Linked DNA regions of Oryctolagus cuniculus. The protein of the gene in region 1 binds, or shares a complex with, the protein of each later gene. Links are inferred from orthologs where the notes say so. Each region holds a gene or a part of one and is shown in the gene's direction. Other genes may lie near its edges.

Region 1 (4,291 bases):
AGCCTGCAGACTCTCCTTGTTGAGTGGTCTTGTTTGTAGCCTGTGACCTTGGACCTGGCCCTGTCCTGGTGCTGCCCTACTGCTGCCCCAGCCTCTGGGAGGATGGGAGCCAAGTTTGGCTGCAGACACTCAGGCCCTGCTCCTCACCCACCCTGCCACCGAGTCACGCTGCCTGCTCCATGCCTCAGTTTCCCCAGCTCTACAGAGAAAGCGCTGGTCTCTGGCTGTGTGCTGTGTGTCTGCGCTGAGTTGTCAGCCCTGGTTTCCCCAGCTGGGGGCGGGGCCTTGCCTGCCTTCCTTGCAGTTGGGGCAGATGGACAAGCCCCCCACCCCCGCAGGTGCACAGAGGGAGGCGGGTGGTGATTTCTGGCTCCCAAAGGTCCCTTCCCTGGAGGGGGCTTTGCCCCTTCCTCTGGGGCCCTCTCCTCCCCCAAAGACTCTCTCCAGAGCTTCACACCCAGCTGAGTGTGCAAGCAGCTGTCACACAGCTATGCAAGGCTGCCCAGCCCCAGCCAGGCCAGGCCCCTACACCCTGCTCCACACACGGGGCTTCCCGGGGCCTGGGGTGCTCACTGCCCCTTCATGAGTCCTCAGAGAGTCCTCCAGCCTGGTACTGTCTTTCTAAAAAATTTTATCATTTTTATTTGTTTGAAAGGTAGAGACAGAAATCCTCCATCTGCTAGTTCACTCCCCAAATGCCCACAACAGCTAGAACTGGGCTGAGCCGAAGCCAGGGGCTGGGAGCTCCATCCGGGTCTCGCCTGTGGGTAGCGGGGGGCCGGGAGCTCCATCCGGGTCTCGCCTGTGGGTAGCGGGGGTGCCGGGAGCTCCATCCGGGTCTCGCCTGTGGGTAGCGGGGGGCCGGGAGCTCCATCCGGGTCTCGCCTGTGGGTAGCGGGGGGGCCGGGAGCTCCATCCGGGTCTCGCCCGTGGGTAGCGGGGGGCCGGGAGCTCCATCCGGGTCTCGCCCGTGGGTAGCGGGGGGCCGGGAGCTCCATCCGGGTCTCGCCTGTGGGTAGCGGGGGGCCGGGAGCTCCATCCGGGTCTCGCCTGTGGGTAGCGGGGAGCTGGGAGCTCCATCTGGGTCTCGCCTGTGGGTAGCAGGGGCCCGGCCACCTGAGCCATCAGCTGCTGCCACCCACAATGGTGCATTATCAGGAAGCAGGACTCGGAAGTGGAGCTGGGACTTGAACCTGGGCACTTTGATACGAGATGTGGACATCCCAAAGTGGTATCTTTACTAGTGCATCAAATGCCCTATCCCTCCCCCACTGCATTGGCCGCAACTTCTGCATCTTTAACACGGGCCGAAGAGTATGGCCAGGGGCAGCTCAGAGAAGCTGGGAGTAAGGGTCCTGGTTCGAGTGGAGACCGTGTGACTGCAGGCGAGGGGCCTCTGTATTTCTGTGTGGCGGTGGCGGTGGGCGCATCCTGCCGGCGTCATTCAGGGCCAAGGTGACGTCCAAGACAGCCTTGTACTGACGAGAGCTCAGCAGACTGTCAGGTCCTTCCTCACCCAGTAGGGAGGGGTCCTCCTCCTTTGGGGCTGGCTGTGTGACCTTGAGCAGAGTGCTTTGCTTCCCTGGCCTCAGTCTTCCCATCTGTACAGTGGGAATAGGATGGGGGCTGAACCCTAGTCCCCGGGCTGCCCTGCCCATCGACCTCCCAGCCCCGCCCTGTGGGTTGCTTTGGATGCGAGGCCTCTGTGGCTGCCCCGTCTCTGTCCCCAGCCCCGCCTGGCTCTTCTGCCCCCTCCCTCGCTCTCTCTGCCACTCGTTGCCGCTCACCACCCCCATCTCTGCCTCTTCTCTCCCGTCGGGCTCTCGCTTTCTCCTCCCTCCTCTGTGTCTCTGGACCCCCGCTCCAGCCAGACCTGGTTCACATTCAGATGGCTGCAAAGGTACTTCCGCCCCTACCCCCTCCCCAGGTCCCAGGGCTCCTCCTGCCCCTGTCCCCGTCCTCCTCTCCTCCTCTCCTCCTCTCCTCCTCTCCTCCTCTTCCTCCTCCTCCTGGGGCAGTTAGTACAGAAGGGGCCTGGGCAGTGGGCTGCGCCACCTCGACCCCTCTGACGAGATCGCTGTGTGACTTTGGGCAAGTCGCTGCCCCCTCTGGCCTCAGTTTCCCGTGGCAGATGGGTAGGCTGCAGGAGGGGCCTGTAGTTTGCGGCTGAGGACCCTGTAGGCGTGAGCCATGGTTTGTGACAGGCAAGCACTGCTCTGCTCTGCAGGCTGGGGCCTGGGTTGCCCCTAAGGGTGCCCCTTGGCCTCCACCCAGGTCTCCCCAGCTCCTGGCGTCTGGCTTCTGAACCTCAGGGCTGGGGGAGACTCGGAGGGTGGAACCTGACGTTCCTCTTGGGCGGGAGTCTTCTCTCCCATTCCAGTGTTGCCTGCCCCCGAGGACCAGGAGCGCCCTTCTGAAAGGCCTGGCCTCTGCTCCGTGCACGGAGACCCTGGCTGCCTTCTGGCCTGGGAGGGGGGCTGCAGGCCAGCTCCATGGGGCAATGCGAGAGCTCCCCTGGTCCCAGCCTCGCTCACTGCAGGAAGCCAGCGGCCCTGGGCTGGCTGCTGACGGCTCCCTTGGCTCCGTGCTCTCCCCTGTGCAGGGAGGGAGACTGGTGGCTGGCCCACTCGCTCAGCACGGGACAGACCGGCTACATCCCCAGCAACTACGTGGCGCCCTCCGACTCCATCCAGGCCGAGGAGTGAGTATCTTCCTGGGCGTCTGCTCACCACTGCTCCTGGACTGCTGGGCGAGGTTGAGGGGTCCAGGGCTGGCGGAAACTGGACTGCTCACCGCTCGTCCCTCCCTCCCCAGGTGGTACTTCGGCAAGATTACCAGGCGGGAGTCGGAGCGGTTACTGCTCAATGCAGAAAACCCAAGAGGGACCTTCCTGGTGCGCGAGAGTGAGACCACGAAAGGTAGCAGCATTCCTGCTGGCCAGCAGAGGCTGAGTCTTTTGTGGGTTCTTGGGGCTGGGTGTTGCAGAATGAATAGGAGTTTGGGGGTAGAGAAGGAAGAGGATGAAACGGCAGGACAGAAGTCAGGCAGGCGCGTGTCTAAGTCAGCGGTGGGAGACGGGGTGCAGCAAGAGGAGAGACGAGACTTCCGTGGCCTCAGTTTCATCAGATGAGGACGGGCCCAGGTTGTCATGAGGTCCAAGTGTCACAGCACAGGTTTGTTCCCAGAATGGGTGCGGATGCAGGGGGCCCTCTCTTCCCCTTCCCCAGGGGCCTCTGGGGCTGCAGTGAGTGCTGGGAGCCGGCCTCGGCCTTCCCTGGCCAGTCCTGGCCCCGCCCCTCCTTGGGAGGGGAGGAGGGAGGCAGAGCATCCAGGCCAGGTGTGTGCGTTTGAGCCCTCAGGCGGCTTTGTACACGTGGGCACCCCTGTGCAGGTGTGTGCCTATGTGTGTGTGTGTGCACATGTGGAGGTTGGGACTGTGGGTTCGTCCTCACGCTTGGGGGCCTGGGGAGTGTGTGGCTGCTGGGTGTGGGTGTGCCAGCAGGTGTGTGCACCTGTGTGTGTGTGCATGTGCGTGTGCACACACCTGTGGCGGTCACTGCCAGCTGCAGCCTCGGGCCTCTGCTCCTGCCTGCCCTTGGCCCAGGCCACCTGCAGAAAGTCACAAGACACTCAGGAGGCGGTTCAAGGCCCGGCTCGGTCCTGACTCACCGAGCGACCGGGGGTAGCCGCATGCTGTGTTGGCACCGCGGGTGTTACCTGCCTGAGTGCGTCCCTGGGAGTTCGGTGGCCGGGAACTGCCTGCCAGGCCCCAGAGAAGGCCTCTGCCCCCAGGACCCAGTGCTGCCCCCAACACCGGCCAGGCATCTCCTGGGCAAGGGTAGCATGGGCTGCCAGCCAGGCTGGGCACCAGGAGGGCCACCGTCTGGCCACACACAGCACGTGGTCTCCTGCCTGGGCCTGACCTGTCTGCAGAAGGGGCCGGGCGTGGACTGTGTCCCCAAGGGCAAACCTGGGAGCGAGGGGCGCATAACCGCGGGGGCCGTTCCCAGACTCCCAGAAAACCTTCATGGAGTGCCCGCTGTGCCAGGCCCTCTGCTCTGTGGTCTCCTTGACTTCCCCACAGCCCCGAGGATGCCCCCATAGTGCAGAGAGGGAAACTGAGGCCCAGCAGCTTGTCAAGGTCTGGCTGTCTTCCCGGCGGTGGGCCATGGGCTGGCCTCCCCGGGCCCAGTGCCAGGCAGGCCCCAGCACAGTGCTTGGTGCTGGGGTCCTGGGGCGGGAGGGGTGCAGGTCCGGCGGGCATGGCGGTCACGGTGCTGCCTCCCCTCGG
Region 2 (5,087 bases), about 11 Mb from region 1:
GAGTGTCTGGGGGCTGTTTTAGAGACAGTGGTGACCTCTGACCCGAGATCTGAAGTGTGTGAGAAGTTACAAGAGTGATGCGTCAGAAGCAGTTGCTGGTGCAAAGGTCCTGGGGTAGAAACTAGCTTGGTGTGTTAGGGGGTGGGCAAGCGACCGGAACAAAGCACGCAAGGGTGAGAGAGGTTGGCAGTGGCCAGGTCAGGTGGGTCTTGTGGGCCAGGGTTAGGAATTCTTTAGGTTTTATTCTAACTGGAATGGGAAACTTGAGTTTTGCAAAGGAGGGATCATGGTCCACATATTAACATCTCTGGCTGCCGTCAGGTGAAGAGTGAATGCGCGGGGCGTTAGCTGGTGCTCGAAGTTGGGAACTTCCTCCCCTGCCCCTGTGTGGGCTGCACGGGGGCCCCACCGAGGGGACGGCCAAGTCCTAACACCCAGTGCCTGGGTGAGAAGTCTTTGCAGGTACAGTTAACTTCATGATCTCAAGCTGAGATCATCCGGGCGCCCTGGGATCGCCCGTTCTGGATTAGGGTGGCCCCCACAACGGCAGGTGTCCTTGTCGGCGTGAGGCAGAGCGAGCAGACAGGCGGAGCCGGCGGCGCCGGGCCGGAGGAGTTGCCCCCACGTGGCTGACGCCCCGTGGACACCCTAACTCCCACCTTTTGGCCTACAGCACTGCGAGAGGATGCACTCTGCCAACTGAAGCCCCGGAATCGGCAGTAGTTGATGACAGCAGCCTCCACCGTGACCAGCTGTGGCCCCAAAGGCGGAGCCGGTCACCCTGCAGGCGTGAGGGCCGCTGGGGCTCAGGACGGGCCCTTGATCTATTTACCCATCAGCTCTGCGTACGACGGCGACAGGACTGAACCAGGTCTGTTCTCTGTCCGCCCGCGCTCTCATCGCGGTGAGTCCCAGACAAACCGGCACTCGCGAATGGAAGGGGCAGGAGCAGCCCACGGCCTTCCCGGGGCCAGGAGGTAAATGAGGCCGCTCTCGCCTGGACCAGCGCCTCTGTTCCACTCTCCCTGTGGGGCCCTCGGCTTCAAGAGAGGCCTCCAGAGAGCCCAGCAATGCAGATGCAGGTGAATCCGTCCACCTGCCCGCCTGCTGCTGTTGGGCTGAGCTCCTGGGCTCCCCGCTAGGCCAACAGCATTCTGTACCCCAGTCTTGGTTTTTAGCACATCACCCATCGAGGGCCTGGAGGGCGCAGATGCACGGTCACCTGCGGCTCCCCCAGGCTGTGGCCCAGGTGGAATTTGGACCCAGGCAGCCCGCCCCAACGCACGCGGGAATCCAGTGCTGCTCCGGACGGGTGGTTCTCCCTCCCGGCGCCTCCGTCTCCCCAGAACTGGAGCTGGCAGTGCCTACTCCAGGGGGTGCGCGCGCAGATGACCCGAGCGCGTCCTCGGGACGCCAGGCCCAGCGCCTGCCCCAGGCGCCCAAGGAATGAGCTGGAATTCAACCGATAGCGCCAGGCAGCACGGGCTGGCCGTGGGCATGGGCACAGGGGTCAGAGGACGGGCCCTCCAGCTTGGCTCCCCCCCAGCCCGTGGCCCTCACAATGTCCCCGTGGCAAAGCCAGGCCTGGATGTGGCCAAGCGGCCAGTCGGCCAGCCTTTCCCGCTGTTTCCAGGAACGGGTACCCTGGTCAGCCGGGCTGCACTGTCCACCACGCGGCCCGCGGGATTTCCCACGCCCACCCGCCCACTCCTAGCGTCTCGGCCAGGGACACTACCGCTCGAGGGCCGGGCCCTCGCCAGCAGCCGGGGCGGCCATCGGCCAGAGCCCAGCCCCCCGCACACCGCACTGAAGGGCAGACGCGGGACGACTCCCAGGCCCCACTCTGACTCACCGCGCGCGCCTCGCCGCCGCGGCAGCCCCAGCTCCGCCCGCACCTCGCGGGACCCCGCGGTCACCGAGGCAACGCGCGCGCGCCACGCCCCAGCCCCGAGCCTCGCGCGGGAGGAGGGCGTTCCCTGCCGGACGTCCCCGGAGCCCCGCCCCCGGACCCGCCCCGCGGAAGTGCTGGCCGACATTCTCGGGCGCTGATTGCTCCTTTCGCTGCGGAGGCGGAGTCGGCGGCAGGCGCTGTGCGTACTTCCGGCTGCCGGGTTGACATGAAGAAGCAGCGGCGGCGGCGGCGGCTAGGGCGGCGGTAGCGGCGGGCGTTGCGGGGTACGGCGGGCCTCGAGGCGAGGAGCGCGACGCGGCCTAGAGCGGCAGACGGCGCAGCGGCCGCCCTGGCCCGTCATGGAGATGGAAAAGGAGTTCGAGCAGATCGACAAGGCCGGGAGCTGGGCGGCCATTTACCAGGTTCGGGAGCACCCCGGCGCGCGCAGGCCCTTCGCCGGGGCCGCGTGAGCCTTCCCCGCGGGCGCCCGGGCCCCGTTCTCGCTCCGGGGCCGGGGGACTCGAGCCGGCGGCGGCGCGGGCCGCCCCCCGCCCCGCTCTCTTTGTGCGCCCCGGGTGGGCCGCGCAGCCCGTTCGGGTCCGCCACCCGCCCCCTGCCCCGGCGCGGCCGCCTCTGCGCGGAGGCCGCCGGTGGGCGCCCCGCCCCGCCCCGGGGGTTGACTGGCCCCCCTGCGGCTTCCTCTTCTGGCCCGGACCACCCCGGACGCCCTTCCTTTGTCTCGCTGGGGACGGGGCTACTGCGCGCTCGCTCCCCGCGTTTCCTCCCGCCGTGGTCTCCGCGCGCGCCCGGTGCCCAGGGTGACAGCCCCCTCGCCCGGGGCTGTGAGCCGGCTGCCGCGTCGCGGGCCGCGCACCTGCTCGGGCGCCGGGGATGGAGGCTGCTGAGCCCCGCGGGAGAGGCCGGACCGGAGCGGACAGCCTCAGTGACAAGGGCTGCGCCGAGGACCGCATCGGAACGGGCGGCTCCGGAGAGCACGGGGGCGGGCTGCCCGGGGACACGGGCGCCGCGAGCCGCGCGGGGAGGGGCCGGCGGGCCGAGGAGCCCACGCGGGGCCCCGGGAGCTAGGCTTTCTGCCTGGCAGACACAAAGAGGCCCTCTCCGTGAGATGCCACTGCGGGGCCGAGAGGGCTGAGCGGAGCCACACTGCCGGGTGGCCGTGGGCAGGGCGCGGCGGGTGAAGGGAGTAGCAGCTCCCAGGCCCAGGGGCGAACTGGGAGACTCATCAGCGGGGTGTCGAGGTCTCTGGTGGGCTTGGCTGACGACAGCGTGCTTGCTGGGGTCCTCTCATGCACACTGCCATGTGTGCCAGCACCTGATGGACTCGCGTTTATAGCGGCTGTGATCTGTGTGACCGTGCGAGTCTGGTCTCTCGGGAGCTATGACCGCCTTCCAGCCGGGGCTCGGAGAGGGTCTGCAGCGGCTCTGAGTGGATTTGTTGCATCTGAAGCGTTGAAGCTGATTACGGTACAACTCATCCCAGGTGTAGACATTCGGGGGGAAGCTCTGAACTCGTCACGGGTGTAGACATTCAGGGGGAAGCTCTGAACTCGTCACGGGTGTAGACATTCGGGGTGAGGGGGAGCTCTGATCCTGAAGCAGGCTGAGCTCTCTGCAGGTTGACGTTACACAGTCGCGGCCACATCTGATGTGGGAGTTGGCGAGCAGACTGGCTGCCTTCCGGGCTGGAGGTGCTAGCGCGAGCGCGGTGCCGCTCTGCGGGGATTTCCCCGCTGAGTGTCCACCCCGCGTCACCCCGCGAGCCAGCCGAGACCTCGGTCTTGGTTCGGGATGGATCACCACAACCAGGGATGCATCATCTTTTGATCTTGAAGAATCATCATTGTGGGTTTTTCTCACCTCTGCTGTGGAGACTTGTTCTTTTCTAAAATCGAAATCAAAACCTCTTTCTTTTTAGGGTAAAAGTGGCTGGTCGTGCAACCGTGGCATTTTTAAAAACAGTTCAGGTGACTTTGGATCCAGAGTAGCTAACTTCTACGGTGTGTGTCCGTTTACCAAAACCGCTATGTTTCAGGATTTCAAAGAAACGTTATTACACTTGGTAGAAAATAGAAGTTAAAAAAAATAGCATTTTATGGCATGGATTTATAGTAGGTGGGCGAGGACAGCCTTGAGCCGTTAGCCGAGCCTGCCCTGCCTGTGCGGTGAGAGACGTCGCGTCACTCCCGCTCACAGCTGTGGAAAAGAGCACAGCACTCGTTTCTCTCTCTGCTCAGGTGCGAAGATGGGGAGGGCGCAGGGGCGGCGCGGTGGGAGGGGCCGAGATGCGCCAGCTCCGCGGGAAGGAGCAGCAGCCGGCGCGGGCCTTTGAGGCTGCTGTTCGCCCTGCGGTCCGTGAAGGCGGCCGTGACGGCCTGCGTGGATGACTAGAGTCGCGCTCTGGCATGTCCGTGACGTGCGGTCGCCGCTGGAGAGTGGGAGCGTCCTGGTGCGAGGGGCCGGCCGTGCGGGAGGGGTGAGCGTCGGCACCGGCAGATGCAGGGACTGGGTCAGGTGTTGCCTGTTGTTCTCTCTCAAAGCGCGGATTCTGACGCTGTCCTCGGCCTCAGCTGCGCAGCGTGAATGATTTGATTGTTTCAGATACAGGAGATTGCAACACGGATCGTGACTTGCAGGCGAGATGGGCTCCACGGTAGAGGCAGGCTTTGTAAAAGGGGCCACTCTGCCAACTGGCGCTTGTCCTCAGGGCGGCTTTCGCACTGAAATACAGCCTACTGCCCCAGTAGGTTCAAACCACGTCAGGACGGTAATTCCACTAACACGCCTTCCACTGTCTCCAGCCGGGGGTGTTCCAAGAAGATGAATGTCGAAGCGGCCCAGCCATGTTTGTTTAAATACCGTTCTCTTCAGGGGAAAGAGAGAACTTGCATTTTGGGCAGAGGAGAAAGATCTATAAACCATGACTCATTTTAGCTAAACACCAGCAGCAACAAGACAGCCGGAAGTGACGCGGAGGGGTCGGGAAGCGCTGGCCACCCCGCGTGGCCCGCTGGACTCCAGGTTCCCCTGCAGCCCGGTTTGAGTGGACTGAACTGCGGTGTCGGATTCCCGCTTTGGAAAAGGCAGGGAGCACAGGAGGAAGCGTGGCGGGAAGAGCCCCTTGCCACCGCCGTTGGGCGTCCTGGTGTGTGGGAACTTGGGAAGGAGGCAGGCTGGA

What was found.
Region 2: the proteins of SRC (region 1) and PTPN1 are in contact, whole or in part, in a crystal structure (PDB 3ZMQ), measured with the Homo sapiens proteins. The link is inferred for Oryctolagus cuniculus from reciprocal best matches to the Homo sapiens genes SRC and PTPN1. Residues at the interface, in NP_005408.1 of Homo sapiens: Glu527, Gln529, Tyr530, Gln531, Pro532; in NP_002818.1 of Homo sapiens: Arg45, Tyr46, Arg47, Asp48, Val49, Asp181, Phe182, Ser216, Ala217, Gly218, Ile219, Gly220, Arg221, Ser222, Gln262.

Annotation. Positions count from the first base shown.
Region 1 is NC_091442.1:21,177,067-21,181,357, reverse strand, and holds part of SRC (proto-oncogene tyrosine-protein kinase Src), read left to right. Parts: intron 1-1,867; coding exon 1,868-1,900; intron 1,901-2,602; coding exon 2,603-2,701; intron 2,702-2,814; coding exon 2,815-2,918; intron 2,919-4,291. UniProt on the Homo sapiens protein: Non-receptor protein tyrosine kinase which is activated following engagement of many different classes of cellular receptors including immune response receptors, integrins and other adhesion receptors, receptor protein tyrosine kinases, G protein-coupled receptors as well as cytokine receptors.
Region 2 is NC_091442.1:10,308,866-10,313,952, reverse strand, and holds the start of PTPN1 (tyrosine-protein phosphatase non-receptor type 1), read left to right. Parts: upstream 1-2,102; 5' UTR 2,103-2,250; coding exon 2,251-2,313; intron 2,314-5,087. UniProt on the Homo sapiens protein: Tyrosine-protein phosphatase which acts as a regulator of endoplasmic reticulum unfolded protein response. Mediates dephosphorylation of EIF2AK3/PERK; inactivating the protein kinase activity of EIF2AK3/PERK.